Linked DNA regions of Bombyx mori. The protein of the gene in region 6 binds, or shares a complex with, the protein of the main gene of each other region. Links are inferred from orthologs where the notes say so. Each region holds a gene or a part of one and is shown on either strand. Other genes may lie near its edges. The genes, in order: U4/U6 small nuclear ribonucleoprotein Prp31, small nuclear ribonucleoprotein G, U6 snRNA-associated Sm-like protein LSm8, U4/U6 small nuclear ribonucleoprotein Prp3, ubiquitin carboxyl-terminal hydrolase 39, U6 snRNA-associated Sm-like protein LSm2 and U4/U6.U5 tri-snRNP-associated protein 1.

Region 1 (4,799 bases), on a different chromosome or scaffold from region 6:
ATTGAATAGGAAGGTGTTCACTTAACTTTATTTAAATATTAGGCGTCTACACACCACCAACAAAAAGCCCAATTCCAGCCGAAAAATTCAAGATGTGACGAACTGACGAAAAGGGGCTTGAAAATTTATTCTGCTTGTTGACAGTTATGACATATTTTTTTTTAATGATTCTGAATGTAGTGTCTAAGAGGTATAAGATCATACAACACTACTATTTTCTACTAAAGCTGAGCTGTTTCCACTATTATGGATTAAAAGTATTAAAATCTAATGCTCTGACGTACTTTTTAGGAAAATCCTGTAATATATTTTTCAATTGTTATTAGAAAATAAGTCAAACTTGATCCACGTAATTCTTCAGATTAAAAGTACATTTCTTCTTCTTCGTCGCTTCCTCATTACTGTGGATCATGAGTCGTGACCACCTTGGTCTAATTGCACTAGTTTCCTACAATGCTGCCTGCATTTGGCCTGCTGAATGGCACCCGGAACGCTGGTGTTTGTGGCTTCCTTGGCAATGTCCGTCCATCTGGTTGGCAATCTTCCTCGAGCTCTCTTTCCTTCCACGTGACCTACAATTATTATTTTTTCCAATTTGTCAAGATTTCGTCAGGTCACGTGTCCGAAGTACTTGAGGAGATGCTGCATACAGATCGTAGATAGACAGGTCTTGACGTTTAGCTCCGAGAGAATTGATACATTTGTTCGGCGCTCCGTCCATGATACGACCAACATTTTGCGCCAACATCACATTTCAAATGCGTCAATTTTCAATCGGATACGGGCCTTGAGGGTCCACGTCTCAGAAGCGTACGAGAGTATGGAGAAGATAAGGGTTCTCATGAGCTTTATCTTAGTTTTTTGTTTATGTTGCGATTTCTCCAAATCTTCATAAATTTGATTCAATTCTTAAAAAAAAAACCAAGACTATTTCATTACAGCTTTCAGTATTTTTTAAATTGTAAAAAACAATCAAAAGTCACCGTCCTGTGAGACCTTTTGGCGGGAACGCGAAGAGCGAAGTTGTGTGAATTGTTTTAATTTGTCTATTTAGTATTTCTTTAGGTTTAAATGTGTAATAACGGTGGTTAATTATGAACTATTTAGTATTTATGAATATGCACAAATGTGGGAAAATGAAATAAAACTGCTGGGCGCAGCTTCTCGGGATCTACTGAAAAGTTCACTGAAAAGTCTTAATAAATATCTAACCACTATTTTACTGAGATTATATTTTATCCCATATCATCTCATCTTATTTCATTTAATTTCATCTCTATTAATGAATATCTCCAGTTAATCAACTTAAATTCATTTAGCTTCATATCATTTCCATGAAAGAGAATCTATAATTTATGAATAAACATATCGTATGATACCTTCGTCTTTATACTTGGAAAAATGGAATTACTACATACTAGGTAGGTACGGTACTACTTACTACTGTCAAGTACCGTACTGTCACTGTCATTTCTGTTTACTTTTCAAATTAACTATTGCAAATATTAGTCGCCGTAGGTACATAGGTAGGTAAATCATTTAGTTTTGGGTACAAACTATTGAAGTTTAATGACATCGCTGACTAAAAAATCAAATTAATATCTATAATGTATACTAAATGAAATATACTGTATAGCTGTGAAAGTCGATTTGAGTAAAAAACTGTAATAATTGTAGAATATTACAGAATACAATAGAAACAGAACAAGCTCACACATAAACTTAACACTCAGAAAATCAATTTAGTTCTACAGAAGCATGTCTCTAGCTGACGAATTACTTGCTGATTTAGAAGAAAATGACGATGGTGAACTCGAAGCTGCTATCGAGAGCAAAACCAAAGAAGAATACGACTTTGCAGTTCCATATCCCGTCTTACCTAAAGAAGAAGAAATCAAGAATGTCTCGATAAGAGAACTCGCGAAACTAAGATATTCTGATCGTCTGAAACGTGTATGTATTTAATAAAGTTTCTTGAAGAACAGTTTAAATATAAATTACAATTTTTCATGTAAACAACTTTTAGGTTATGAGTGAAATAGAATGTAATGCTGGAAATAACAGAAATAAGGTTGAAGTTGCTGGCTTAATGGAGTCTGACCCTGAGTATCAACTGATTGTGGAAGCAAATAATGTTGCTGTTGAAATTGATGGTGAAATAGGTATGCATTCCAATCTCCATTTTTCATGTGTTGATTTGTTTATTAAAACAGTTTCAGAGAATTGAACTTTTATGATTGAACGTAGTGTTAATAGTTCTCTTTTCATGAAATTATTATCTTGGTTGTCTAATTATTACTGCTTACAATATTAAAGTCAAGAAATGCAAATTTTCAGCTATTATTCACAGATTTGTCCGTGACAAATATCAGAAACGGTTTCCTGAATTGGAATCTCTAATCATCACTCCATTGGAATACATAAGGACAGTGAAAGAACTTGGCAATGATTTGGACAGGGCTAAGAATAATGAAATATTACAGAGTTTTCTTACTCAGGCCACTATTATGATTGTTTCTGTTACTGCATCTACAACTCAAGGGTTAGCTTCTTATTTGTTTTCTATTTGTGGTCTATTTTGTTTGCTAATATAAATCAATGCACTCACTCTGAGAAACATCGTGCCACATGTCATTGCAACGCGAGAGCATTGGTATCGCAGAATTCGACTGATACATGACCACAACCACTCTGTTAAGACTGTACGACTAGGAAGAAGAAAGAATAAATGTAAATAAAAATGTAGAAATGCAACATTTCAAATTCATTTAAATTATTATAGTGGACTAGAGTACAAAACAGGGACTTTGAAGATTTATTTTGATGAACATTTTGTGTAAAATAGTTACTTATTAAACAACTCAATCATTTGACAGGAAATTACTAAGCCAAATTGAACTAGAAGAAATCAATGAGGCCTGTGATATGGCAAGTGAGCTGAACAATTTCAAATCGCAAATATATGAGTATGTTGAAAGTAGAATGACTTTTATTGCACCAAACATAACTGCCATTGTTGGTAAGTGATACATTCTGTTGCCTATAATTACTAATATAAATTCTATTTAACACTCCCAAAACGATTAGTGGTAACAATTGTGCAATCACCCTTAGCCAACTGCAATTATTCCCCTCATCATATAATTTCCAAAATAGCAGAGTATTAGAAGGACCAAATGCCTCTTTCTGCATTTTTTGAGCCTGGCAGATTGTAAGTGCATCAGAACTCTAAATTGTAACCCTTTTAAAATAACATTTGCTTGGCAAAGTAGAGAAACGATCTGTTGTTAGAACGAGATGTTTTTTCTGTAGCAATTTATTCCCTTTTTACAATGCTCAGGAGGTCTGACCTGTCTGGTAGTTTGCACTCTGTTCTTGTCCATCATTGGATGGCCTTATTTATACTAAAACTATATCCAAAAATTTGTTGAGAGTGCTCGGGTTCTACGTTTAACAAGCCACCCTCCAATGGTCTAGACATTAAAATAATTTAACTAATCCCCCTCGCGACAAAATATTTAACCATATTGATATATTGGTAGTTGTTAATCAACTACAATAGAATATTTCTTAAATGAATGTGAGCATATTAAATGAATACTTTTTCTAATTGAAGGGTATGTGTGAATGAGTTCAGAATTATCCTGGTGATAAGTGGTTATCGAAGCCCATAGTAAGCACAATGGCACCACAAGCTCTTAGTTATATTTTATAACCCATCACACCATCCAAGCCAGAACTTAACTGCTTCATGGCACAAATATCCAAAGACAATGAAAACTACCCATGCGGGCTTACAATATGTTGTACCACCTGCGAATTTCTATCAAAACTATGTATTTCAGGAGCATCAACAGCAGCAAAAATCCTTGGTGTGGCCGGTGGATTGTCTAAATTATCAAAGATGCCAGCGTGTAATGTGTTACCTCTCGGGCAACAGAAGAAGACACTGTCAGGCTTCTCGCAAGCAACAGCTCTACCTCATACTGGGTTCATTTATTTTTCACAAATTGTACAAGATACAACACCTGTGAGTAATTTGAATATGATGATAATATAATATGAAAACATATTTTTTTAAGTATGACAATGGTATATTGAAGTTTTTGGTACCGAAATGTATTTTAGCCGTTTTACTCAGACTTAAACATTTTCTACTCCTGCAGTATTTCAGTTGAATTCTTAAAGATGTGATCACTATAAGCGAATAAGGTTTTTGAAACAGCCATGTTTCTGGCTACAACTCTATTATATTGAAAGTGCATAGGGAGCGTATTTAAAGAGTTTAGCCAATTCAATTTTACTAAACTGAAGAAATGAAAGAAAATGTTTGTGATCATGAATTTTCTTCTAATACACCGTCCGTCTTGGACTAGAGTGCATCTCTGATAACGGGAATCACTATGTTCACATGCAGTATATCATGATGAAAGAACAGGTTGCAGATGCTAAGGATCATAATATTGATCGATATCGTCAGCACAGGCGTCTTGGTATACATATGGTGCAGGGTGCAGGCGTAGGGGTGTTAGGGGACGCCGGCTTCGGCACTTTCAATGAACCTGTTACATTTGCAGTGATTCCATTTTGACCACGCCTTTACGAGGGTAATTATTGCACTGGGATGCTACATGGGCCAGAGATGCCTTTGATCTTTAAATAAATAATTGCATATTGCTTTTGATGTCCACCGAAAAAACGAGTGTTCAAATGAAAATAATTTGTCATAGATTTATTAATGACAGGAGCCTGCGTGAAATTTATATAAATAATTTTCCTTTCCCTCAGGAATTAAGGTA
Region 2 (4,835 bases), on a different chromosome or scaffold from region 6:
TAATACATACTAATTCTATTGTACTTCATATATTTTTACAGACGTCACCAAAGGAAGCCAGCGGAAAGAAAGTGAAAGTCAAATAAGAAAAAGAAAATTAGAAGATGTTGGTGAGTTTTGTATTATTAACTCCATCTACTTATAGCACCACTTTTAACGATTGGTCAATAAGTATTAATGTAATTTTTTTGTTTTAGATGTTACACCACGGAAAAGGAAGCTCTTAAGTGAATTGAGAAAAACAAAGTGCACATTGGCATCATTAAAAAAGAGCGCGAAACTAATAGACAATTTATCGTCAGAGTTTCTAAAAGAAATTGTCACGTCTGCGTTGATAAATCAAAAGCGTAAGTCACAAGGCAAACGCTGGACTATTAAAAATAAAATATCAGCATTAGCCATCTTCAAGCGTTCACCAAAAGCTTACCGATATCTGCGATATCTCGCACCATTTCCGAGTATCAAAACATTGCAAAAATTAATGAAAAAAATACCTGTTGAGCCAGGTTTAAATACAGCTGTACTTGACCACCTGAAAAAACTAGCTCCCATTAAAAAAATAAGAGCAAAATTATGTTCGCTAGTCTTTGATGAAATAGCGTTAAAAGAAAGGTTAACTTATAGCGAAGCCACAGATAAAGTGGAAGGGTTTATCGATTATGGATATGAGAGGAAAGATGAGCTAGCAAATCATGCCTTAGTCTTCATGTTACAAGGTATTGGGAGAAAAATTAAACAACCGCTGGCATTCTATTTCATAAGAGGCACAGTATCTTCAGAAAAATTAGCAGTTTTAATAAAAGATATAATTAAAGAAATTACTAACTCGGGATTTCAAGTTTTATCAACAATATGTGATCAAGCGCCCACCAATATGGGAGCATTAAGTCTGTTAAAGGAGTGGAACAATGGTGGACATAATTATTTTGAATTTGAAAATAAAAAAATTTATATAATTTATGATATTCCACATTTATTAAAATCACTGAGAAATAACTTTTTAAAACAAGGATTTCTGAAAATGGGAGAATTGAAAGGTCAATGGAGCCATTTAGTTGAGGTAGAGGAACGAAATAGAAATTTTTTATATCTTAGCAAACTCAAATCAACTCATGTACAACCAAAGTACAGAGCTAAAATGAAAGTTAAGTATGCCGCACAAATATTTAGCCAAACAGTGGCTGCTGTTCTTAAATTATTAGCTACGAATGTGGAAAATGTACACCGATCAGATGAAATATTACAGACTGCTTTGTTAATTGAAAAATTCAATAAACTTTTTGATTATACAAATGGGCCATCAGGACATGCTGACGTAAAAAAAGGTATACGGGAAAACGTATCTGCTAAAACTGACCATTTAGCTGTTTGGACAGAATATAGAAAGCAACTGTCTACTTTAACATTTTTCAACCATAATGGCGTGGAAGCAAAAAATGTAAAGTGTGTTCAAGGCTACATTATATCATTAAAATCGCTGCGTGATATTTGGCTGGAAGTTCAGGATTTAGGATATAAGTATTTGAATCTACGGCAGTTAAACCAGGATGCATTAGAAAATTTATTTGGGTTAATAAGACAGCATGGTCAAACAAACAAGCATCCGACGTGTTCTACATTTATAGCAGCTATGAAAACCTCTATAATATCAGGACTTACCGCCCCTCACAGCAAAAACTCCAATTGTGAAGAAGACAAAAAGGAACTCATGACGGATTTTCATGATTTAGTTTTTGGGTTTAAAGACGAAGATGATCAAGGTCAAGATATTAATGAGTCTCCTAGTCATGTTTCCACAGAAAATGAAAATGAGGAAGACAACCCGGTTCTCAGTATACCTGAAGAAGAAGAATATAAAGAAATAGTATGTGACCTAGCAAAAATTTCAAATCAACCAGTGGTCTATATAAGTGGATATCTAGCTTCTGTTATTCTAAAAAAAAATGATTGCCAGGTCTGTAGAGAAACTTTGACAGTTGCAGATCCAGAGGAAAATAAGATTTATGATTTAATTAAATTAAGGGAGTGGTGGCAAGATAAGAAATGTTTGACATATCCATCATTGCAGTTGTGTCAAACTGTACACACTGCGGTTACAAATTTTGAACAGTTTTGTATCCCTAACCTACATAATAACAATATTTGCCAGTGGACAATTACTATATTTTATTCAAATTGTAATACAGAGTGGCTATGCATTAATCATCGTCAACAAATGTCAGACTTATTGTTTACAAAATTGGCTCTAATGCTGATTCGGCGACAGTGCCAGATAATTAATTTAAAGCAAGTTTCAAAGGAAGAGGATTTGGCGGACGCGAACAAAAGGGGTCAACAATATGGTGTTTCAAGATAATTACATAATTAGTTTTTATTTGTTTTTTGTAGAAAGAAGTTAACTTCGGGTTTGAGTTCAAAAAAAGTATACATTTAGAGATTTAGAACTTTATTTTTTTACTATTATAAAATAGAAGTTTTTAAAAATTTACTCTTCAAATGGAAATAGAAACGAATTGTTTTTTATTTAGCACAAAAATTTTCAAAACCTAGTTCGTTATAACATTATAAAACAAGGTTGAAAACCTCTACATGTATACTTATTGTACCTTGCATAAAATTAAGTAAATATTGGTTTATATTGTAAAATAAAAATTAAACATTTCCGATACAAACTTAAAATTTTTTGTAAGCGTTAAAATTCTACTTACAAATTTCATTAAAATTATACTAAGTAATAAAACATTGTTTTATTTCTTTTAAAATAATAAAGTTTTTATTTCAATATGCAATCCTTGCCTGCATTCGATATCGACAAAAATATCGATAATATTCGCATCATTATTTATTGGACATCGATATTAATGCCCATCACTATTTTTGACAGTGGTAGGATTTTTGTAGTCTGTGGTTGTTTTAATGTTGTCACCAGATCGGATCTGATCCCATACATTTTCATTTTGTAACGTTTACTATGAAGTGCGGACTCTTATAACGTAGTGATTATATACTCTTTGGAATTTTGTCAATGAATTTAACTTTTCTACTATATTCTACCGTCTGAGACAGTGCTGCCACTTCCAAAATTAAATAAGAACCTTTGACACGGCGATATTACGATTATAATTTTGGAAATTATAGATCTTGGACATCAACAATATCAGAGGTACGTACGGTCAAGCTACTGCCTATTGCAGAGTTCTTCTTAAGCCTTGTCAGAAACTTGACAGCTTTGATCGAGCTACTTTTTCCCGGCCATAATAAATCTACGTTATTTATGGTAGTAATATGGTCCTCATAACTTGCTGAAAGAGATTTTAGCATGAGTTTTACGATCGGCCGTCTGTCTGACATGAATCTTTCTTGGGCTAGTAGTATATCCATGGCAGCGTACCATGGGAGGATACATTATAATTTAGATTTTTAAATACAAAATATCACGTTTTATGAAATTTTATGAATTTGCATAAGAATATCATAATGCATCATTCATACGAAACATAAAAACAGAAGCTTAAAAGGACACTCAGAACAAATAGAAAAAGAAGCATCTAGTGGGGTGCTAGATTGTTGGGGTGTTTGATGGTCTTTGGCAAAAATGTCTGAAAATATAATATTATAGATGATCACAATGGTTGCGTTTGTAAAGATAAACTCATCAAGCCTTCCAACGTAACTTCTGGCAGTAGCCAATAGAAAAAAACAAAAATAAGGCAATTACTGGCTGCTAGGGAAAATACATAAATAAATCTATTCTAGCACTGTACAGAATTCTAATGATTGTGAACTCAGGGTCTATCTGGTTGCTGCTCTAGTTGGTGGGTTCTGAATTCATAAATTTAACAAACGCTTTCGTGCACCGACTCTTAGAGTATCTAGGTTACCCCTTTGTTCAAAATGTTTTACTTCCATCCGTCCGTGCTACTTTATACAGTCCTAGATCACAAATAAACGCAGTTTATGGTATAACAATCCAAAAAAATATGAATCACTGTGGTTGTATTAATGTATACCATCATTTATAAGCTTAAGCTATTAGGCATGCCTAACCGCTAACCGCTTGCCAAAACCGAATTATAAAAAATATTAAAAACTCCGTAAAGTAAAAACAAGACCGAACCAACAGATAAAGTAAAAAGTTTTACAAAAAGACTGTTAATATACGTCTATACAGTATATCATACATTTTAATGTATTTAAGCATCGTACGAATGTCATCGATTTAAAATCGAAAAACATCGATCCATTAAACGAATTTAAGTAATTTTTTGCCAATTAATATTTAATAAAACTTAATAAAAATATTTATATCTGTGCTTCTATTTTATTAATAATGCACTGCAAGAAGCTACTTCAATGGTGGTGAAAACTCATATTTATTTCGTAATATGCAAACCTTTATTTTTATACTAACAAAAACATAAATATTGTAAGTTGGCAACTTGAAGTCAAATTTCGTTTAGAAATTAAATTAAAAAAGAAAAGATAATTTACCTAATAAAACAAATTCATCACTGAATTTAATGGTCAATCATCTTGAATTTTATTCGCATAAAGTGTATGCACGTAACTATGTTTTTAATTTATAATTGAACGTCTATATGCCCATTTAATTTAAGGTTTGAGTGTCACCTCACCTCCCACTGCCAGAAGAAAAGTAATTATGGGAGATATGTTCATATAGATTAAACCAAATTATAGCTGGCTTAAATAAAATTGTATATAATTAAAATCAAAAATTGTAAGAAATTCAGTAATATGCATTAGAAAACTGAAATAATAAATTTTAAATTTAATGTCAGAGTTATTCTCGTGGAGTCGTGGAGTGCTCAATAGTC
Region 3 (3,097 bases), on a different chromosome or scaffold from region 6:
AATAGCTCTAAATGGGTATCCTAACACAGTGATCACCTGATAATAAGTGGTTACCGGAACTTATAGATAGCATGGATACTCCTACTAATTCTAAAACAGAGATCAGTGTGAATCTAAATTACAATGGCTAGCGCACGTCTCATACTTCTGCTATTAGTACTACCGGTAAAAAATAAAAATAGGGAATATTAAAACTAAACCTATAACCCGACACCATTTTACTTTGTGAAAGCGTGCTACATCAATTCTGAATACTGACATACGAATAATACATAAATACAATAGCGATGTAGTTTCTCTGCTGAAACGGTGACTAACATCTAAACATTAGTACCTAATTATCAATGTCGTAACTCGACACTTGCCATATATTCATACTATTAATAGTAAGTATTGCGAAAAATAAGTTATTGCTTGTGTCTTGTGACTTGTTGTCCACAATATTGTAGAGAAGCATTACTCGGTAATATGTTGCACAGTGTATCACAGCGGTCGGGGAACTTTTTTAATTATTACCCCAAAATATATTTTTTTAAGTTGGTTGGTTGGGTAATTACCCCATGGCGAAGAACAAAAAAAATATGAAATCGCTTCTTTTTAGTATCTTTCATATTATAGCCCCGATGATAATTTTCAAAAGAAAAAACTAAAAATTTAATTTAAGCATCATTTATTCAATTTATCAATGTAATACATAGTAATACATAACGGTAATAATAGTAATATCTGTAATATACAGTTGAGGAAAAAAAATCACCCCCACAGAGAATATAAGTAATTGATAATTTCTTGTTATTTTATAATTCACACGATGCCTACAATAAAATACCTGGGTCAATCACGTGAACTTTGTGTTTCCAAATAATGTGTTCTATCTCATTCTCTCGCCGGCTGAATCCTATATATTTATGTGTTTGTGTCTCTATGGACTTATTTTTCGTTTCGTTTAATTTCGTTTCATCGAATTTGAAATCACAACGATTCTAAAGAAGCTTCACTTCAATATATACTTTTTACTCACAAAAGTTTCATTTTTACGCCCCAAAATTTCATTTTAGGTAATTTACCCCGGTTCCCTGGCTGCTGGTGTATCATAATAATTTGTGAATATATGATCCGTCAGATCTTTTCTACCCAATTTACACGCTTTATATTAACTTCACTTGTATGTATGTTTGCAACTGACTCCTTTAGACGCGATTTTGACCCACTTTAAACGGCCAGAATTCATTCAAACTTTGTAGATTTATCGAGGACCGATAAAAAAATACTAATTTGATAAGATTATTCCATTATTCAATTTATAAAATAAGATTTTGGTCAATTTATATAATTTTTATCTATACTCGATAAGGCAGGAATTGATGTTAATGTACTTAATAGTTTTAAAAATACGCTTTTAAAGAAAATTTAAAATACATAATAGTTTAAAAAACTAAAAAAGACACTTTATATAAAATTCAACTAAAAAATTAAAATAAATTTTAATAAATTTAAATTGAAAATAGTGTAAAATATATTTTATTTAAAAAAAAGAGTGGGGTGCTTTTTAAGATATTATTGAAATAATAATTCTTCTACTCATATCTGTCAGAAAAATATTTATAACTAATAACACCATGCACCCCATGCTTTTTTTACAATAAAATATATTTTACACTATATTCAATTTAAATTTATTAAAATTTATTTTCTATTTTTTTAGTTGAATTTTAGATAAAGCGTGTTTTTTATTTTTTTAAACTATTATTTATTATGTAGTAATCATGTAGGTAGTAATAGTAATTGTAGTAGCTATTATACTAATCTGTGTAGGTACACATTTCAAATAATAATCTGTGGCAGCTCCCTGAAATTTGAAAATTTCTTATAGTTGTTTGATGTTGATTATTACTAATTTGAATTTATAAATAAAATAATTAGAATGGCTTCTGGACTCGAAAATTACGTGAATCAAACAGTGTCGGTAATAACTTCGGATGGACGTAATTTTATTGGCACCCTTAAGGGCTTTGACCAAACAATAAATATTATTTTAGACGAATCTCACGAAAGAGTGTTTTCCTCCACAAGTGGCGTCGCTCAAGTAGTACTTGGACTTCACATAATCAGAGGAGACAATGTGGCAATAGTCGGGCAAATAGACGAGTCAATTGATAGCAGATTAGACCTCGGAAACATCAAGGCAGAACCACTTGGACCAATGGTACATTAGAACTAGTTAATAAATGTTTTGTTATCAATCGGTGTTTCATTTGGGCAAATAAATATCATATTTTGTATTCGTCTCTTGTCTTGATTTACTAATTCGCAAAGCAGAATACATATTTTCACCCATAAAAATTAATCTTAGCCCTGGCTTGGGTTTTCCATTCTCTGAATAGGATTTGTGATAGCATGCCCTGTAATACCTGTTAGAATAGACAACACCCTGGATATATGTTCATTTCTTTGAACATAATCCTTAGGAAGTTACTTATGATGCCTATTGTAAACTACCAAATTAAGGGTTATATGTTTTACTCTTTCACAAAATACACATGAAGGTTCAAATACATTAAATCCCTGTATAATATATTCACAGGAATCAAAAATATTCATAGGTACTAAAAGAACCTTATTTCTCATTTGCTAATGGGTCTCATCACAATCAGCTCAGTTAGCCTGTTACCAACACAATTTTTTTAATGTGTTTGTGCTCTAGTAACTGGCATATAAATAACCGTTTTAGAATAAGCATAATAGCATTTCTTTTAATCGGCAAAGCCAAATAAACAAGAAAAAGATGCTTGAATTTTTTATTTTAATCGTGTCACAAAAAATGTTTTAGCATTGGTAATTATTTCATTGGAAAAATCACATTCCATTGATTAAATAAAAAGGAGCAAGCCTCATTAATTACATAATTAAGAGAACAAATTCCGTAAAAACGGATACATATTCCTTTCAGTCTGTTTTAGGAAACTTCAAAATTATGCACACTACTCATATTCTGAATACCCAGAGGTCATTCATTTATTCATCTATTGTAAGTTTGTCAAATTACATGTATGCTTGTTTTTACCAGTTTGTTGTTACATAATATATATGTTTAATT
Region 4 (4,314 bases), on a different chromosome or scaffold from region 6:
GATTGAGCACTATGGATAGCGTAGGTTGCCTTGCAACGGATATACGCATTGCTCTCTCTAAAAGAGAGTCCTTGGTCGGGGTTTTTCTTGACATTGCATCCGCATACGATAATGTCCTTCTTCCTGTACTCAGGCAAAAAATGCTCCAGCTGAGTATCCCAGAGAAGATGGTTAACTTCATATCTAATCTATTTTCATCTAGAGCCATTTTAATTTCTTGCCAAAATTCTTTACTTCCTCCTAGACTTCTATGGAAGGGCCTCCCTCAGGGATCAGTTTTAAGCCCTCTATTATACAACTTGTATACCTACGACCTAGAACTTTCGGTAAATTCATTCTGCAACGTACTACAATATGCGGATGATTTGGCTCTATACGTCTCAGTCAGGGACTTAGGGGATGCCTCTGCTCGCCTCAACTCCGCTATTAACTATCTCCATGACTGGTTAGGTAATCATGGTCTATCCCTTTCAGTTGAGAAGAGCAGTGTAGTGACATTTTCTCGCATGCGATCTATTCCCGACGTCATTGTCTCGTTTGATGGCAAAATATTCCCAGTGCGAAACTCAGTAAAATTTCTCGGAGTCGTTCTTGACTCGCGTATGACTGGTGTCCAACACATTAACCACATCATCAAAAAGTGCGAAAAGAACATCCATATTCTTCGCTCCCTGTCAGGCGTATGGTGGGGATCACACCCCTACACTCAAAAACTGTTATATAACGCCTTGATTCGCAGCCATTTTGATTATGGCACTCACATTCTAGAACCTTGCAATAAGTCTGCCTTAACCTCCTTGGACAGGATCCAATCAAAGTGCCTACGTATCATAATCGGAGCAATGAAGTCTTCCCCCATTAACGCCCTTCAGGTTGAATGTGCAGAACCCCCCTTGCACTTGAGGAGACAATACTTATCGGACAGATTCATTTACAAAAATTTTCAGCTTTCTAACCACCCCCTTATTTCAAAGTTACATACTCTTTCGGAACACATCTATTTCAACAGTTACTGGAATCATAAGTCCCACCCATGCCTCTTCACCAGTTTTGTTAAGTTTATCAGCCTCCCCTGTCCCGTCTATCAATGTAGGTTAAATCCATTATTCCTCACACCTTATAATGCAATTCTATACCGTCCGGACATTGTTCTAAATATCGGAATAAATAAAGATGACCCCGGTGCAAACGCCAAATTTAACTCTGTCGTCAATAGTAAATGGAACGGTTGGCATACTATGTTCACTGACGCATCAAAAATAAAAGCTGACGGCTGTGTAGGCTTCGCTGTCTGGATACCGGAGTACAAAATCATTTTAAACTTTAAGTGTCCCCCTCAAGCCTCGGTTTTTACAGGAGAGGCGCTAGCTATCCTTGAAGCCCTGATGTATATAGAATCACATAAGCTACACAACACGGTGATATTCACCGACTCTAGAAGCTGTCTACAGGCAATCCTTGCAAACCAACTCAGATCCAAGTCAAAACTCCCTTTTGTTCTGAAAATTAAAGAAATTCTTTTTCGGTGTCACGTGTCTGGCATAAAAATCACCCTAGCTTGGATCCCGGGACATAGCGGTATAGTGGGTAATGAGGGTGCTGATCAGTGTTCTAAGGATGCCACGACAATAGGTAGTGATATTCATTACACAACCTATGCACAAGATCTAACGTCTCTAGCCAAGGCCGATCTCATATCGCGCTGGAATGAAGCGTGGAACCTTTCGAAGCGCATTAAAGGCAAACATTACGCGGATGTTCAAGACTCGTTGCTCGTTCGGCCTTGGTTTTTTAAATACAGGAAAGCCAACAAGAGAGTCACGTCCACAATATGTAGGTTAAGATTAGGTCATGCTTGTACCCCGGTTCACCTAGCTAAAATAAGGGTCAAGGATAGCTCCCTATGTGAGTGTGGGCTCGACGAGGGATCAGCAGAACACATTTTCTTTAACTGCCCTAGAAGACCTTCCCTTTACGAAGTTCTACCGGACATTATCCCCAGACCGACGAATTTCAAATCTTTGTTGAGCCTTGTACATACAACTTTTGTAAATATTTTATGTGAATATGTTCACCAGAATAACATTAGACTATAAGTTGTTTGTCCTTACTAATCTTCTGACAATCTTTTCTGTAACATATATATATATATGTATGTATATGTATATATACATATATTGTTTGTCCTGTTTTAGGTTAGTAATTCAACAGTTGATTACTTTGTAAAATAATAATAATTAAAATTGATGTGACCTTGTGCAATCACGAAGCCCACCCAACAAAAAAGAATCCAAACTTCACCAAAAGACATCAGCTGAGCATAATCAAAACCACAGACTATAAAACTTGACTTTGGCGAAATCAAAAAGGACCGCCATTACAAAAGAAAATGTAAATGTAATGCCAGAAGTCTGCAGCTATGTTCGTAATCTACTGTGCGAACAAGAAAGAAGTCGTCGTGGCCTAGAGGATAAGACGTCCGGCGCATTCGTCTCTTGCGATGCAACGGCGTTCGAATCCCGTATACTAATTAATTTACCTAATGAAATACGTACTCAACAAATGTTCACGATTTACTTCCACAGTGAAGGAATAACATTGTGTAATAAAAATCGAACCAGTAAAATTTTAATTTGCGTAATTACTGGTGGTAGGACCTCTATTGAGTCCACACTCGTAGGTACCACCACCCTGCTTACTTCAGCCGTAAAGCAGTAATGCGTTTCGGTTTGAAAGATGGGGCAGCCGTTGTAACTATACTGAGACCTTAGAACTCATATCTGAAAGTGGGTGGCGGTATTTACGTTTTAGATGTCTATGGGCTCCGGTAACCACTTAACACCATCAGGTGGGCCGTATGCTCATCTGCCTGCTCGGGCAATGAAAACAAAAACACAGAAATTTTGTGTCAAGACCAAATGACAGTCTATGTAAATTAGATTTTATCCGTTCCAGTTAATGATGGCCAACGCTCAGAAAGAGATAGAGGAACGCAAGAGAGCTCTTCAAGTGCTGAAGGGGGTTGAGACCAAACCGAGTGTTAATGCTGCGGTGGCTGCGGCCCAACACCTGAAAGTGCAGATGCAGCAGAACAATGCAATACCCCCACCGAGTGTAATCAAACCTGTACTGTATTCAAAACCTGGTAAGTCTCAGTTTACACCTCAAGCACCGGTCCGGACTCCGACATGCCCCGCCCTCCATCACCAGTGGAGAGCGGAAGTCCGGCGATGTCCTCCTGACCAAAAAAAAGCTTTTTTTTTTGCTTAAATGGGTGGACGAGCTCACAGCCCACCTGGTGTTAAGTGGTTACTGGAGCCCATATACATCTACAACGTAAATGCGCCACCCACCTTGAGATATAAGTTCTAAGTTCTCAGTATAGTTACAACGGCTGCCCCGCCCTTCAAACCGAAACGCATTACTGCTTCACGGCAGAAATAGGCAGGGTGGTGGTACCTACCCGCGCGGACACACAAGAGGTCCTACCACCAGTAAAAAGTTCTGTATTACACGTATTTATTTATTTATTTGGGAAACAAACTGTACAATACAAACATATAATATTTAAAAAAAAATAGCTAAAACAATAATCAAATATGTTTCCACAATCAAAATCACATATAAATGTAGAAAGTGAACAGAGAAGAGAAATATAGAAATTTCAGAGTTACAAAAAAACAAAAGGAACACAATACCCACATATTATTTTGTACATCAACTTACACTATAAGACTATAATATATTATACATATAATTTTGACGTGACAACGTCTTATATTTCGATGGATGCACGCACGAAAAAACATGACTCATGCGGCGTTACCTCGCTCTGAGGCGTTCCATTTAAGGCTTGAAGTGCAAGCGAGAGCGCGCAACGAGCGACAAAGAGGCACAATCGGCCTCCGCGTTCGGCAGCGTTCGACATCTGTCTCTCTCCTACTTGAGTGAGCGATGCATCCGCGTGGACAGCTGCTATACAATAATACATTTACATGTTTTCGTCAAGTATGAAGTTCAGTGAAAAGTGAATGTGGTGTCAATTGTTTATAGCAACGATAATTATTGAAAAATGAAACCATTCCATCAGTATTTTCTTATGACGTTGTCACGTTCAACTATCGTCAGTAAACCGACTTTACAGACAATCGTTTTTTTTACAGAAACTTTGCCGTTATCACGCGAAGAATTGGAGAAGCAAAGGAAGATAGCTGAGCTGCAAGCGAGGATACAGCGGAAACTTGCAGGTATTTGCACCTCACCGATCATTAATACTGTCAGGGTGTTGTGAACTATCATATAGTCATCTGTACC
Region 5 (4,946 bases), on a different chromosome or scaffold from region 6:
ATATTTCATGAGAATTGGATTCACCCACTTACGGCATTGAGACCCATGAAAGTTTTTTCTACATAAAATATCAAGAGTGCGAAAATACAGCAAAAAGTTTTTTGGCTATTACAGAATGACAAAAATATCATTCGATAATTTACTACAACTACTTTACTACATCTTTTCAATAGCGAGGTTGTAGGACTATGAGCGAAATGCGCGAATTTTATTCCACAGTGCGAACATAGCCATACTTACTCTACACGATACAAAATATTCGCGCGGAAATAAATCGCACCGCTTCGCGTTCAATTTGCATCAAGTCACAGATTTTTTTCCCGCGCGATTTCGTTCCCGCCAGTGCGGATACTTCTATAATATTAAATGTGTTACAGAATTACGAGAAAAAAATCGCGCGGTGAAATATCGCTGTGCGGACAAGGCCTAAATATTACCAAAAATTGCCAAGTTACTCTATAATTACAATATTGGCAAAATAATAACTTTTTGGCGGAAATTCGAGGAGCGAAGCTTTCAAATATTAATCTATGAGCGTAGCAGTGTCAATTGTTTTATTTAATTTATGTAGTGTCTTTTCAGATTAAAATGCGTAATAATGGTGGTTAATTGACTGTATAATACCTTTGAAAGTGCACAAATGTATGAATATGCAACAAAGCCGTTAAATGTAGCTTCTCGGGATCTTTTTAAAAGTCCATTGAAAAAGTCTCAGAAAATAATTCCCATTTTACTGAGACTATATTTCATCTCATCTCATTACGTTTCATTTCATGCCAATTGATTATTGTTCCAAATTAATCAACTTCATTTCATTTCATATAATCATTTATCATAAGCAAAAAAATATGAAAGATTAGGCTGTATGGTATCATACTTTTGCCTTTCCAGTTCGAAAATAGAACACATACTCCTACTAAAATATTTTTTAATGGATTTTATGACACGGTAACTAAGATCTTTAGGTCAACTCTTAATAAAATTTATATTCTTATTTTTATGAAAAATGATAATATGAAGTGAAATGAGATGAGATGATATGGTATAAAATATAATCTCACTATGATAGTGGTCATTTACTGATACTTTTTAGTGAACTTTTTGGAGGATGGATAAGGTCTCAAGTATAGTTACAATGGCTGTCCCACCCTTCAAACCGAAACGCATTACTGCTTCACGGCACAAATAGGCAGGGTGGTGGTACCTACCCACGCGGATTCACAAGAGGTCCTTCCACCAGTAATTACGCAAATTATAATTTTGCGGGTTTGATTTTTATTACACGATGTTATGCCTTCACCGTGGAAGTCAATCGTTAACATTTGTTATGTATTTCAATAGAAAAATTGGTACCCACCTGAGATTCGAACATCGGTGCATTGCTCAACACGAATGCACCGGACGTCTTATCCTTTAGGCCACGACGACTTCATATTTCATACTATATTATCTCATTTCATTTCATACCACTTCGTATTACCATTTTTCATAAAAATAAGAATATAAATTTAATTAAGACCTGACCTAAAGGTCTTAGTTACCGTATCATAAAATCCCATAAAAAGTTCATTTAACGATTAATATTTACATTTTACATTTAGATTTCAGATTCTTCATTTAACTACATTGTCTAAAGTCTATGATAGTAATAAAATGACTGAAGAACAATCTAGAAAACGCAAAATAACTGATGAAAATGGGACTGACAAACAAGGTACTTGATAATGCAATTCTAACCTTCTATGATTCTGCACTCTACTGCTATTTGTAATCAAAGTATTATTATATTTTCAGGACGATATTCGAAAACTCAACAAATTCAATGTCCTTACCTGGATACTATCAATCGGCATGTTTTAGATTTTGACTTTGAGAAATTGTGCTCGGTTTCATTGACTAGAATCAATGTTTACGCTTGCTTAGTGTGCGGTAAATATTTTCAGGTAACAAAATATTTATGCAATTGTCATGGCTTTGGTGATTAGAGGCTTGAACTTTTTTTTACAGGCAAGTTACTTGTTTTCATGATGACGATTTTTATGAGCGCCAGTGTTGTTCCTGGCATTTCATTCCAGTTCTTTGCTGTAGTGATATGTAAGATAGGTTATTTATGTTGACTTAGGCATAAATTTGAATTAATCACTTGCGAAAAAATCATTAAAATCTATCTACTTTCCAGGGAAGAGGCACCAACACTCATGCCTACACACATTCAGTGGCTGATGGACACCATGTATTTTTGAATCTTAACACATTAAAGTTCTATTGTCTTCCTGACAATTATGAAGTTATTGGTAAATTACATATTTTTAACTTGGTTAGCTAAAATAGCTTTTATGTTAGATATAAATTAATTATAAATAAAATAATAATAAGATATAAATGAATTCGGTCAATTGATGATTTTGTGCATTGAAAATATTTATAAAATATTATGATTAAGAATTGGTGCATTTTACAGTTGTTAACACATGCGATAACTTAAAATAAATTGTTAGACTTTATTTTTGTAAGTAAATTAATAATAAGGAAAATTTGACTGATTTTTAAAATTTTATACACCAAAATGGAATCAAGTAAAATACTTTTAAGCTTAAATTTAGGTATCAATGACTAGAAGTACAGTAAAGCTTTAAAACTTGTAATAGTCTAATGGACAAGACACCCAGTGCATTTGTATTGGGCAGTGCAACTGTGGTGGTGTTTGAATTCTGTTGGCAGGTACCAATTTTTTTAATATGTATTTAACACTTCGTTGGTGAAGGAATGTATCAAATCCATCTTGTGATTATAATAAACTTGCATAAATTATAATTTGTTCTAAGGGTGACTTAAGAGCTTGCATTTGTAAGTACCACCACTCTGCCTATTTCTGCCGTGAAGCAATAATGTGCATTGGTGAAGGGGACAGCTACTGTTGTACTGTAAAACTGAGACTTAGAACTCCTGTTATAGGGATGCGGGTAATCACATAGCATCAGATGAGCCGGGAGCTAATCTACCTATCACAGTCATAAAAAAAGACAATTTCACATTTTAGACTCTTCATTGAATGACATCAAATATGTTTTGAACCCAACATTCACACCTGAACAGATCAAGCTTATAGATACTAACACAAAGATGTCACGAGCCATTGATGGCACAATGTATATGCCTGGCATTGTAGGCCTTAATAATATCAAGGCCAATGATTACTGTAATGTAATTTTGCAGGTCAGTATATGTTTTTATTAAATACATTTTATGATATGTACTGTTTTTATTGTATGATAAATGCGACTTATATTTTTGTTGCCGGCGATCTGTGAAAGTAGATGCGTTACAGTCAAACTGATTCTGTTTTAACCATTATGTATATTTGTAGTGAATAATTACACAGTGCTACAAAGTCTTAATATTGTCACAGTTTTATACTAAATTCATTTTATGATTTTAGTGTTTGTCACAAGTACGTCCCCTACGTAACTACTTTTTGAGAGAAGAGAACTATGCTAGTGTAAAAAGACCACCAGGGGACTCGTCTTTTTTACTTGTACAAAGATTTGGTGAATTATTACGCAAACTATGGAACCCCCGTGCTTTTAAAGCACATGTATCTCCTCACGAGATGTTGCAGGCTGTTGTGCTGTGGTCTAAGAAGCGATATCAGTTTATTAAGCAGAGTAAGATTTTAGTAGTTTTTTGGATATACGAACATGCTTTCTTAGTGTAATTTCTGTATATTATGCTAAAAAGTATGAATATTGATTGATCAGTTTTATATTTTAATTATATATTGTTTTATAATAATAATAAAAATTTATAAATAAATAAATTTTTGCTCAGGTGATCCAATAGACTTTCTGTCTTGGTTTCTAAATTCATTACACATGGCACTGAATGGTACAAAGAAGCCAAATAGCTCCATAATTTATAAGTCATTTCTGGGTCACATGAGGATCTATACAAGGTAAGATTTAAGCATCTGATTTTTTAAAGTTCAAAATAATTAACATTTAATCTATCATTATATGCAGTCAAAAATTTCTGAACAGACTGAAATTTTCAGAAAGTTGCCACCGCCGGATGCTGATGATGCAGCTAAAGTCGATCTTAGCAGTGAAGAGTACAATGAAATGATCACTGAGTCTCCATTTTTGTACCTCACATGTGATTTGCCTCCAACGCCATTGTTCACTGATGAGTTCCGCGAAAATATTATTCCACAGGTGAAAATACCTAGTATTGTTGCAATTTAAAAATTGTATTCACTAACTTTTTTATTTTTTTATTAAGACTGGTTTTTTTATATCAATTCACATCCACTTAAATAGGATTTAAAACAAAAAACTTAACATAAAAACTATTTGAAACTTCTGCTTGAATATTTTTAACATTCTTGTGATATTACAGGTAAATCTTTACCAGCTGTTGTCAAAATTCAATGGTCAAACATCAAAAGAATACAAGACTTATAAAGAGAACTTTTTGAAAAGATTTGAAATAACACAGCTGCCTCCTTATCTAATTCTTTACATAAAAAGGTTTACGAAAAATACTTTTTTCGTTGAAAAGAATCCTACAGTTGTAAACTTTCCTGTCAAGTGAGTCATTATTGTTCAGATCTTATTTGATAGAAAATAGTTGATTTAAGCTTGTATTAAATAACAAATTTAACTAAATTTAAAATTATCAAAACAGTTGAAAAATTGCGTTTATTTATTAATTTAATGATATTGGCATTTTGAACATTATTATTCGCAAAACGCAACGCTTTTCTGTTCTGGCCATAGAAGTGTTTTTAAAATGTCCATCATTCACAACAATGTTAGTTGTCTAAATTAATTAACCTATTTTATTTTAGAAACGTCGATTTTGGCGATATACTGACTGCGGAAATTAAGGCGAAACATAACGGAAAAACAATATACGAACTGGTTGGTAACATTGTTCATGATGGAACA
Region 6 (2,976 bases):
AGTAAATATCAGAATATTCTTTGAAAATAATATTCCAGCGGCTTTGTGAAATAACTGCTATAAATTGTACCTATACAAAAATACGCATTGTTCGGTACCTAACTCTTCACGAATGTTATACGTCTACTCGAATTCGCCCACAAAAAAAAATTTAGCATAGAAGTCCAGGAGTAATGCGATGTAGTCTATATTGAAATAATGAAAATAATGTACGGTACATAGGTACGGTACTTTAAAAAAATATTGTACATAGATTAGAAAGGTGTTCATTTATCATATTTTCACTAACAAAATTTCAATATGTAACGGAAACTTACAACAAATGTAGTTTTAAAATTATGTTTCTATCTATATATTTCTGTAATCTATCTAGTTATATATATATAAATGAATTGCTGTTCATTAGTCTCGCTAAAATTCGAGAACGGCTAGACCGATCTGGCTAAATTTGGTCTTGAATTATTCGTGAAGTCCAGAGAAGGTTTAAAAGGTTCAGGTTTCAGGAAGGTTCAGTGTTTGGCAAGCAACATATTTTAATGATGCTTTTACAATCCCTTCTGCCTATGGAAAACTATGACATGGCCATCTTCAGAAAAAGTATATCTTAAAAATCCAAAATAACAGCTTTGTAAATATTTACATCCAAATTATGTACACTAGAGATCTAAATCAATTCTGGTTTGAAAAAAGGCTTAAGTATTAAGGAATGCAGCTATGTCTAATAATTATCAGTATAGTTTGATGTGAAAGGTAATAAAAACTTTTTTCTGTGATACATTTTTGAGAATGGTAAAAATATAGATGTTTTTTATTGATAAATTATTCTTTCATACTCTGGTATAAAACTTACATAAAACTGAAGAACTAGGTTATTTTTCGATCAAAGGAAACTTTCTTTTCTGAAATGAATATCCGGAGACCGCTACTAAAACACTATATTATAAGAATGATTTATTAAGAAACTTAAGCTTATATTAATATGTACACTTTAAATTGAAGTTGTAGGTTAGGTTAAGTTCTATCTTGTTGAAACGGTCGCCTCCTTTCTAGCGGCATCCTGGAGAAGCTGGGTGTCTACCTCATCAGCCGGCAGTTGTACGTATCGAACCACGGAGCCTCTTATAAAACAATTTTTCACTGATAACATATGAGGATACTTTTCAGAGTCAATCACGCTTATATCCGAAAGCTTTATATTGAGATATTGATCCACAGAATGCAACGTCCCACATATGCTGAGGTCATTTTTCAGCTCGACGACTACATCCTTACCGACTAACGATTTGAAAAACGAGTAAAACAACATTTTTCGTTTTGTTTGTTTGAAAACGCGCTGAAACAGTAATTTGGCTTGGGTTCTTCAATTAATGTCATTTAAAACTCAAAGTCAAAATCATAAAATGTCAATGCCAATAGCTTTTTGTAGCGGTGTGAATCGGTATTTTCCGTAATTTTGTTAGTTTTGTGCAGGAGCACCATCTCATTTCCAATGTCTTGCATTTACTACGTTTTCGTTACCTGTGCTTAAATTTTTAAAACAAATCGGGACTTTTTGGCGGGAACGTAAGGAGTGAAGCTGTGTGATTTATTTTATTTTGTCTATTTAGTGTTTCTTCAGGCTTAAATGTAATAATGTAATCTAATTTAATGTGATAATGGTGGTTTATTGACTGTTTAATATCTGTGAAAGTGTACAAATGTGGGTAAATGAAATAAAGCCGCTGGACATAGCTTCTCGAGATCCTCCAAAAAGTCCACTGAAAAAATCTCAGTCAATGACCACCATTTTACTGAGAATATGTCATCTCATATCATCTCATCTCATCTAATTTAATTTAATTTCATCGCAGTTGATTAATATCTAAAATTAATCATCTTCATTTCATGTCATTTCACTACATAATTGTAACATTTTTCATAAAAATAAGAATATTAATTAAAATAAGACATGACTTAAAGATCTTAATTACCAGGTCATAAAATTCCTTAAAGCGAAATGTATAATCTATAGCGTCCGCTAATCCCGTTTGAGCTTGGTTGAGTTGTTTAATTTTTTAAAGAAAATTGTGTTTTTTTATTGTTTTAAATCGATTTTAACACTGAGAGTAATGTGTCCACAAACAATCAGTACCTCATTTACTTAGTTCTTCGAAAAACTGTTGCTCGGACTTAAAACCAGATAGATAACCTCAAACGTAAACTTCAAAATGGCATCTGTAGATGAAATCGCCGACATTGTGAGTTTTTACGCATTAGTCGCATTAATTGAATATAATTAAAAACTAAAAGAACAAAGGTTTTCTTTTTTGATTTGATATTCCTGAATGTTGTGTAATTCGTTTATATAAGTGCATGTATTAGCAATCGATTGTTGTGTAGTTCTAAACAAGATAGTCATTTAGAAAAAAAAAAGAGGATCCTTAGTTTTATAGATACCGAAAACACGAGAGAGTTGTGACTGCGCTCCAAAACCGGAAGCCATTAAGTAACATTGACTTCGACCTGTAGTAACGTAAACTAATAATCAACCACTAAACCAACATTACAAGCGATTACACTGGAACCAGCTGTCTGCTAAGATCATTACAATTTCTCAAGAAAAAACCAAATTGTAGTACCTAGATCCTATATAATTACTCTAATCCATATTTTAAAAACGCCAATTAGCTGTTTAGCCTCTTACTGGTGGTAGGACCTCTTGAGAGTCCGCGCGGGTAGCTACCACCACCCTGCTTATTTCTGCCGTGAAGCAGTAATGCGTTTCGGTTTGAAAGGTGGGGCAGCCGCTGTAACTATACTTGAGACCTAAGAACTTATGTCTCAAAGTGGGTGGCGCATTAACGTTGTAGATATCTATGGGCTCCAGTAATAACTTAACACCAGGTGGACTGTGAGCTCGTCCACCCACCTAAGCAATAAAAAAAAAATTATAATGAGTTAGATACCCCACTGAAGCTTCATTACACTTTATAACTG
Region 7 (3,351 bases), on a different chromosome or scaffold from region 6:
TGACGGCCACGCATGTATCGTCCGGCCGGCTGTCCGCAGCGTCCCTTGGGCAGCACTCACCGGCGAGTGCGGGTTCTGCTTGGCGAAGTACGCCGGGGCTTCCCCGAGGGTCCGGCAGAACTCTGCGGTGGCGTCGAACAGCATGCCCTCCGGCCCCGCCTCCACCTGCTCCTCCTTCACGCGCTCCAGGAGTTCTTCCACCTGAACCGAACCAAGTTTTAGAACTAAACCTATTTACGACATCAGGCACTCAGTACAACAAAAAATAGAGTCAGGCGGGTGTAGCAGGTGACCCTTCACGGCAAACATTTTACTATCGACAGTTGTTTATCTAATAAATATTTTTTTTAATGACATTCAAATGCGATTATATTATTACCAGTGAACCTTTGAATCTATGAAATATATAAGATACCTTAGGCACAGCGGCATCTTGCACCTCCTTGAGCCTGAGGCGGCGCGCCCTGGCCAGCGCGGCGTGCAGCTCGGTGTCGGGCTCCGTCTCCTCCTCGTCCACCACCAGCGCCGCGGCCCCCGCCCGCACGTCTGCGGAGGGGACGACAGGTCGATTGATAACTAGTTTTTAGGGCACAGCCCGCTTTTACTTACATTTTTAGGTCGATAAGGAACAGGATTGTTGTAAAGTTTGAAATAATCAGAATTATGTAAATTATAAAAAAATATGTATGTTATGTATCGAGTTTTTATAAGAACTTTAATAATTCATTAAATGCGGACGAGCAGGGCGCGCCGACACAGCGGCGACAAACTATTCGAAACGGGGCTGAAATAATATGATGATCATGCAAACGTGAGATTAAACTACTACATATATATAAGACTGGAGGACGCGTCAGACCTGTGTCGTCGGTGTCGAGTGGCGCGGCGGCGGCGTCGTAGGTGTCCGCGTCGATGGGCTCGTCCTTGGGCTTGGTCCGCATCTTGCCCTGCACACAAACACACACGTACACACGGGTCCGCCCGCGCCGGCGCGACGCTCGACGAGCGGGGCCACTGACCTTTCTCTTAGTCTTCTTGAACTTGGCTTGGATCTCGTGCTGGTCCATGTAGTCGGCTGCGAGCTGCGGCTGCGGCAGCGCAAGCGACTCCATGCGGCGAGAGGCGGGGCCTTGCGCGAGCTGCACATACACAGTTACGTTAACGCACCGCCACGTGACGTGACGCGGCGTGACGTGACGCTGCGTGGCGTGACGCGGCGTGATGCGACGTGACGCGGGCCTCACCAAGAGCTCTCTGCGCCTGTGAGCGTCGAGAGAGGCTTCGTCCCCTATGACGAAGCCCTTGTCCTTATCGAGTTGGTCGGGCTGGATCTGCTCGTCGTACTTGGAGAGGACGGAGCGTCGGAAGCCGAGGGAGGCCTGCAGCTCGGCCTCCTCGTCGTAAGCCTGGTAGCCGGCGCGCGCCTTCTTGCGTTCTTCCACGTTCTGAACAAAACCCATTATATCATTTATTATGGTCTTTCACTGACTGATGTATGTAAGTAAAATAGTAAAAACAGTTATCTTACCTTCTTGTATCGCTCGTTGTCAACAATATTGACATTGATGAGCACATCCTCTGGGTCTTCAGCTAATATTTCTTTATCAGCCAACGTTAGAATGGTTTCACGTTCATCTTCCAACTGTACAGATTATAGATCTATTAATACAGATTTTTTTGTTTCATGTAGTATTTAGAACTAACACGTGTGGTCGCCACGAGATTAGAAATCGTGAAACGAAAATAATCAACGCGTGATTGAAATGCTCAAAGTTTAAACCAACCTGTGATTAGTACAGAACTAAATTATTTCGCATTTTATTAAATTTTTTGGATGACCACAAAATCAAATAGCCTGCTGGTATTCCCATTAATATATGGGGGGTGGGAAGGTGTGAGTACCGCATCGAGCTGGTGCGCGACCCGCAGCCCCCGCAGGCTGGGCGCGCGGTAGGGGGCGGGCGCGGGGGGCGCGCGGGGGGGCAGCAGGGCGGACACGCCGAACGCCGCGTCCATCTCGTCCAGCATGGCCGCCTGCGTACACACATGCTTCACATTAATATCTTATGTTGTCTCTGTGGTGTTTAGGTCATGGATCTAAACTGATAAAACTATTGATTTTTGATTTTTGTTCTCAGCAGCTAAAAAATGCATTTATTGTATGCTCACCCTTTTTGCAGCTTCTTTCTTCTGCGTCTCTATTGCTCTGGAGCGCTTCACCCAGGCCGACGCGTCATCATCGTCAGACCCTTCACCGAGTAGGGTAGTCTGTAATCTAAATGAAATTATGCATTATATTACAATTTTTTTTTATTAATTTCCAGTTTATTTCATTTGGTTCTTATTATGATGATCATTTATTCAAACAGTACTTATTCCTCAATATAATGTAATATTTTATCGTTTATTACAATAATATCAAAAAATTCAAGCCAATCAATGGAACAAAAATATAGTATTTCATACTTCTCTTCAATATTCCTCTTCTCCTTTCGCTCTTTTATTTTCTCTTTGAGTTTTTCTGTTTTCTTCTGTTCAGTGATATTAGTAGCCGGCTTATGGTAGAACTCGCCAAGGTCATCTTTGAATTTACCATCATCTGTGAATGGATTAAAACCATAGTAGAACTCACACTTAAACAGCAAGTTTTAGTTAGTGATCGCGGTCGGAAGACAACTGTGAACACAATATTAATAAAAGCTATATGTACCTTGATGTTGATTTGTTAATGACTTTAATATAATACGTTAATTTATCAACGCAATAAAAAAGAATTTAAAGTTCCTAAGTGAAATTATTTATTTGTTGGGGCTTGACACTTGTAATTAATTCCACTACATAGACAGATACAGATCAATCTATTTAAAAGTTTGTAAGCAGTGGGTAATTTTGCTATAATATACCTATTAAATTTATCTTATGAAAATATTAACCTGAACAATTTGTGTAAAATAATGACTAAAAACATATAAAATGGCAAAAAATTTGAATTTTATTTTGTTTATTTATTGTTGGCAAAGATAACACATCAAATTCGTTATGCGTGATATAGTCTGTACATTAAATAAAATACAATATATTAACACAATAAAAAAAAAACATTACAAAAGCGATAAAACTACATTACAAACCAGCAGGTTTCTCATTGACTTCAAGTGGTTTAAGTCCAAGTTTAGCTCGTAGACGATTGGTCTCTTCAATGGACAAGCTCTCTTGTGCTCCACCACTCTGTGTTTGTACTGGAGACTTGGTTTTCTCACGTTCATACTCAACACTCTTGTCCCTATAAAAAGTAATAAAAATAGTTCGTAATGTAATTTCAAGATAGATAAGCTAACAAACCTACCCAGT

What was found.
Region 1: U6 snRNA-associated Sm-like protein LSm2 (region 6) and U4/U6 small nuclear ribonucleoprotein Prp31 share a complex: the UniProt entries of both Homo sapiens proteins name them as parts of the U4/U6-U5 tri-snRNP complex. The link is inferred for Bombyx mori from reciprocal best matches to the Homo sapiens genes LSM2 and PRPF31.
Region 2: U6 snRNA-associated Sm-like protein LSm2 (region 6) and small nuclear ribonucleoprotein G share a complex: the UniProt entries of both Homo sapiens proteins name them as parts of the U4/U6-U5 tri-snRNP complex. The link is inferred for Bombyx mori from reciprocal best matches to the Homo sapiens genes LSM2 and SNRPG.
Region 3: U6 snRNA-associated Sm-like protein LSm2 (region 6) and U6 snRNA-associated Sm-like protein LSm8 share a complex: the UniProt entries of both Homo sapiens proteins name them as parts of the precatalytic spliceosome. The link is inferred for Bombyx mori from reciprocal best matches to the Homo sapiens genes LSM2 and LSM8.
Region 4: U6 snRNA-associated Sm-like protein LSm2 (region 6) and U4/U6 small nuclear ribonucleoprotein Prp3 share a complex: the UniProt entries of both Homo sapiens proteins name them as parts of the precatalytic spliceosome. The link is inferred for Bombyx mori from reciprocal best matches to the Homo sapiens genes LSM2 and PRPF3.
Region 5: U6 snRNA-associated Sm-like protein LSm2 (region 6) and ubiquitin carboxyl-terminal hydrolase 39 share a complex: the UniProt entries of both Homo sapiens proteins name them as parts of the U4/U6-U5 tri-snRNP complex. The link is inferred for Bombyx mori from reciprocal best matches to the Homo sapiens genes LSM2 and USP39.
Region 7: U6 snRNA-associated Sm-like protein LSm2 (region 6) and U4/U6.U5 tri-snRNP-associated protein 1 share a complex: the UniProt entries of both Homo sapiens proteins name them as parts of the U4/U6-U5 tri-snRNP complex. The link is inferred for Bombyx mori from reciprocal best matches to the Homo sapiens genes LSM2 and SART1.

What each region holds. Positions count from the first base shown.
Region 1 is NC_085116.1:12,783,883-12,788,681, reverse strand, and holds the start of U4/U6 small nuclear ribonucleoprotein Prp31, read left to right. Parts: upstream 1-1,403; 5' UTR 1,404-1,526; exon of another isoform or gene 1,527-1,746; 5' UTR 1,747-1,758; coding exon 1,759-1,953; intron 1,954-2,026; coding exon 2,027-2,162; intron 2,163-2,337; coding exon 2,338-2,542; intron 2,543-2,876; coding exon 2,877-3,019; intron 3,020-3,845; coding exon 3,846-4,030; intron 4,031-4,788; coding exon 4,789-4,799. UniProt on the Homo sapiens protein: Involved in pre-mRNA splicing as component of the spliceosome. Required for the assembly of the U4/U5/U6 tri-snRNP complex, one of the building blocks of the spliceosome.
Region 2 is NC_085133.1:8,590,681-8,595,515, forward strand, and holds the start of small nuclear ribonucleoprotein G, read right to left. Parts: upstream 3,163-4,835; 5' UTR 3,015-3,162; intron 2,741-3,014; exon of another isoform or gene 2,357-2,740; coding exon of another isoform or gene 198-2,356; intron 111-197; coding exon of another isoform or gene 42-110; intron 1-41. Other genes in the region: uncharacterized protein LOC134201547, read left to right, coding at 42-110, 198-2,356. UniProt on the Homo sapiens protein: Plays a role in pre-mRNA splicing as a core component of the spliceosomal U1, U2, U4 and U5 small nuclear ribonucleoproteins (snRNPs), the building blocks of the spliceosome.
Region 3 is NC_085112.1:10,370,352-10,373,448, forward strand, and holds U6 snRNA-associated Sm-like protein LSm8, read left to right. Parts: upstream 1-1,815; 5' UTR 1,816-1,924; coding exon 1,925-2,215; 3' UTR 2,216-2,243; downstream 2,244-3,097. UniProt on the Homo sapiens protein: Plays a role in pre-mRNA splicing as component of the U4/U6-U5 tri-snRNP complex that is involved in spliceosome assembly, and as component of the precatalytic spliceosome (spliceosome B complex).
Region 4 is NC_085130.1:18,552,495-18,556,808, forward strand, and holds part of U4/U6 small nuclear ribonucleoprotein Prp3, read left to right. Parts: intron 1-2,195; exon of another isoform or gene 2,196-2,252; intron 2,253-2,955; coding exon 2,956-3,145; intron 3,146-4,163; coding exon 4,164-4,247; intron 4,248-4,314. UniProt on the Homo sapiens protein: Plays a role in pre-mRNA splicing as component of the U4/U6-U5 tri-snRNP complex that is involved in spliceosome assembly, and as component of the precatalytic spliceosome (spliceosome B complex).
Region 5 is NC_085121.1:4,080,955-4,085,900, forward strand, and holds the start of ubiquitin carboxyl-terminal hydrolase 39, read left to right. Parts: upstream 1-1,531; 5' UTR 1,532-1,653; coding exon 1,654-1,714; intron 1,715-1,794; coding exon 1,795-1,943; intron 1,944-2,179; coding exon 2,180-2,294; intron 2,295-3,040; coding exon 3,041-3,216; intron 3,217-3,439; coding exon 3,440-3,665; intron 3,666-3,828; coding exon 3,829-3,952; intron 3,953-4,051; coding exon 4,052-4,211; intron 4,212-4,395; coding exon 4,396-4,586; intron 4,587-4,846; coding exon 4,847-4,946.
Region 6 is NC_085129.1:20,029,504-20,032,479, forward strand, and holds U6 snRNA-associated Sm-like protein LSm2, read right to left. Parts: upstream 1,380-2,976; 5' UTR 1,307-1,379; coding exon 1,019-1,306; 3' UTR 939-1,018; downstream 1-938. Other genes in the region: protein suppressor of forked, read left to right, coding at 2,208-2,237. UniProt on the Homo sapiens protein: Plays a role in pre-mRNA splicing as component of the U4/U6-U5 tri-snRNP complex that is involved in spliceosome assembly, and as component of the precatalytic spliceosome (spliceosome B complex).
Region 7 is NC_085118.1:17,268,590-17,271,940, reverse strand, and holds part of U4/U6.U5 tri-snRNP-associated protein 1, read right to left. Parts: intron 3,284-3,351; coding exon 3,132-3,283; intron 2,600-3,131; coding exon 2,467-2,599; intron 2,276-2,466; coding exon 2,170-2,275; intron 2,035-2,169; coding exon 1,903-2,034; intron 1,643-1,902; coding exon 1,529-1,642; intron 1,446-1,528; coding exon 1,245-1,445; intron 1,140-1,244; coding exon 1,020-1,139; intron 948-1,019; coding exon 860-947; intron 547-859; coding exon 416-546; intron 202-415; coding exon 61-201; intron 1-60. UniProt on the Homo sapiens protein: Plays a role in mRNA splicing as a component of the U4/U6-U5 tri-snRNP, one of the building blocks of the spliceosome. May also bind to DNA.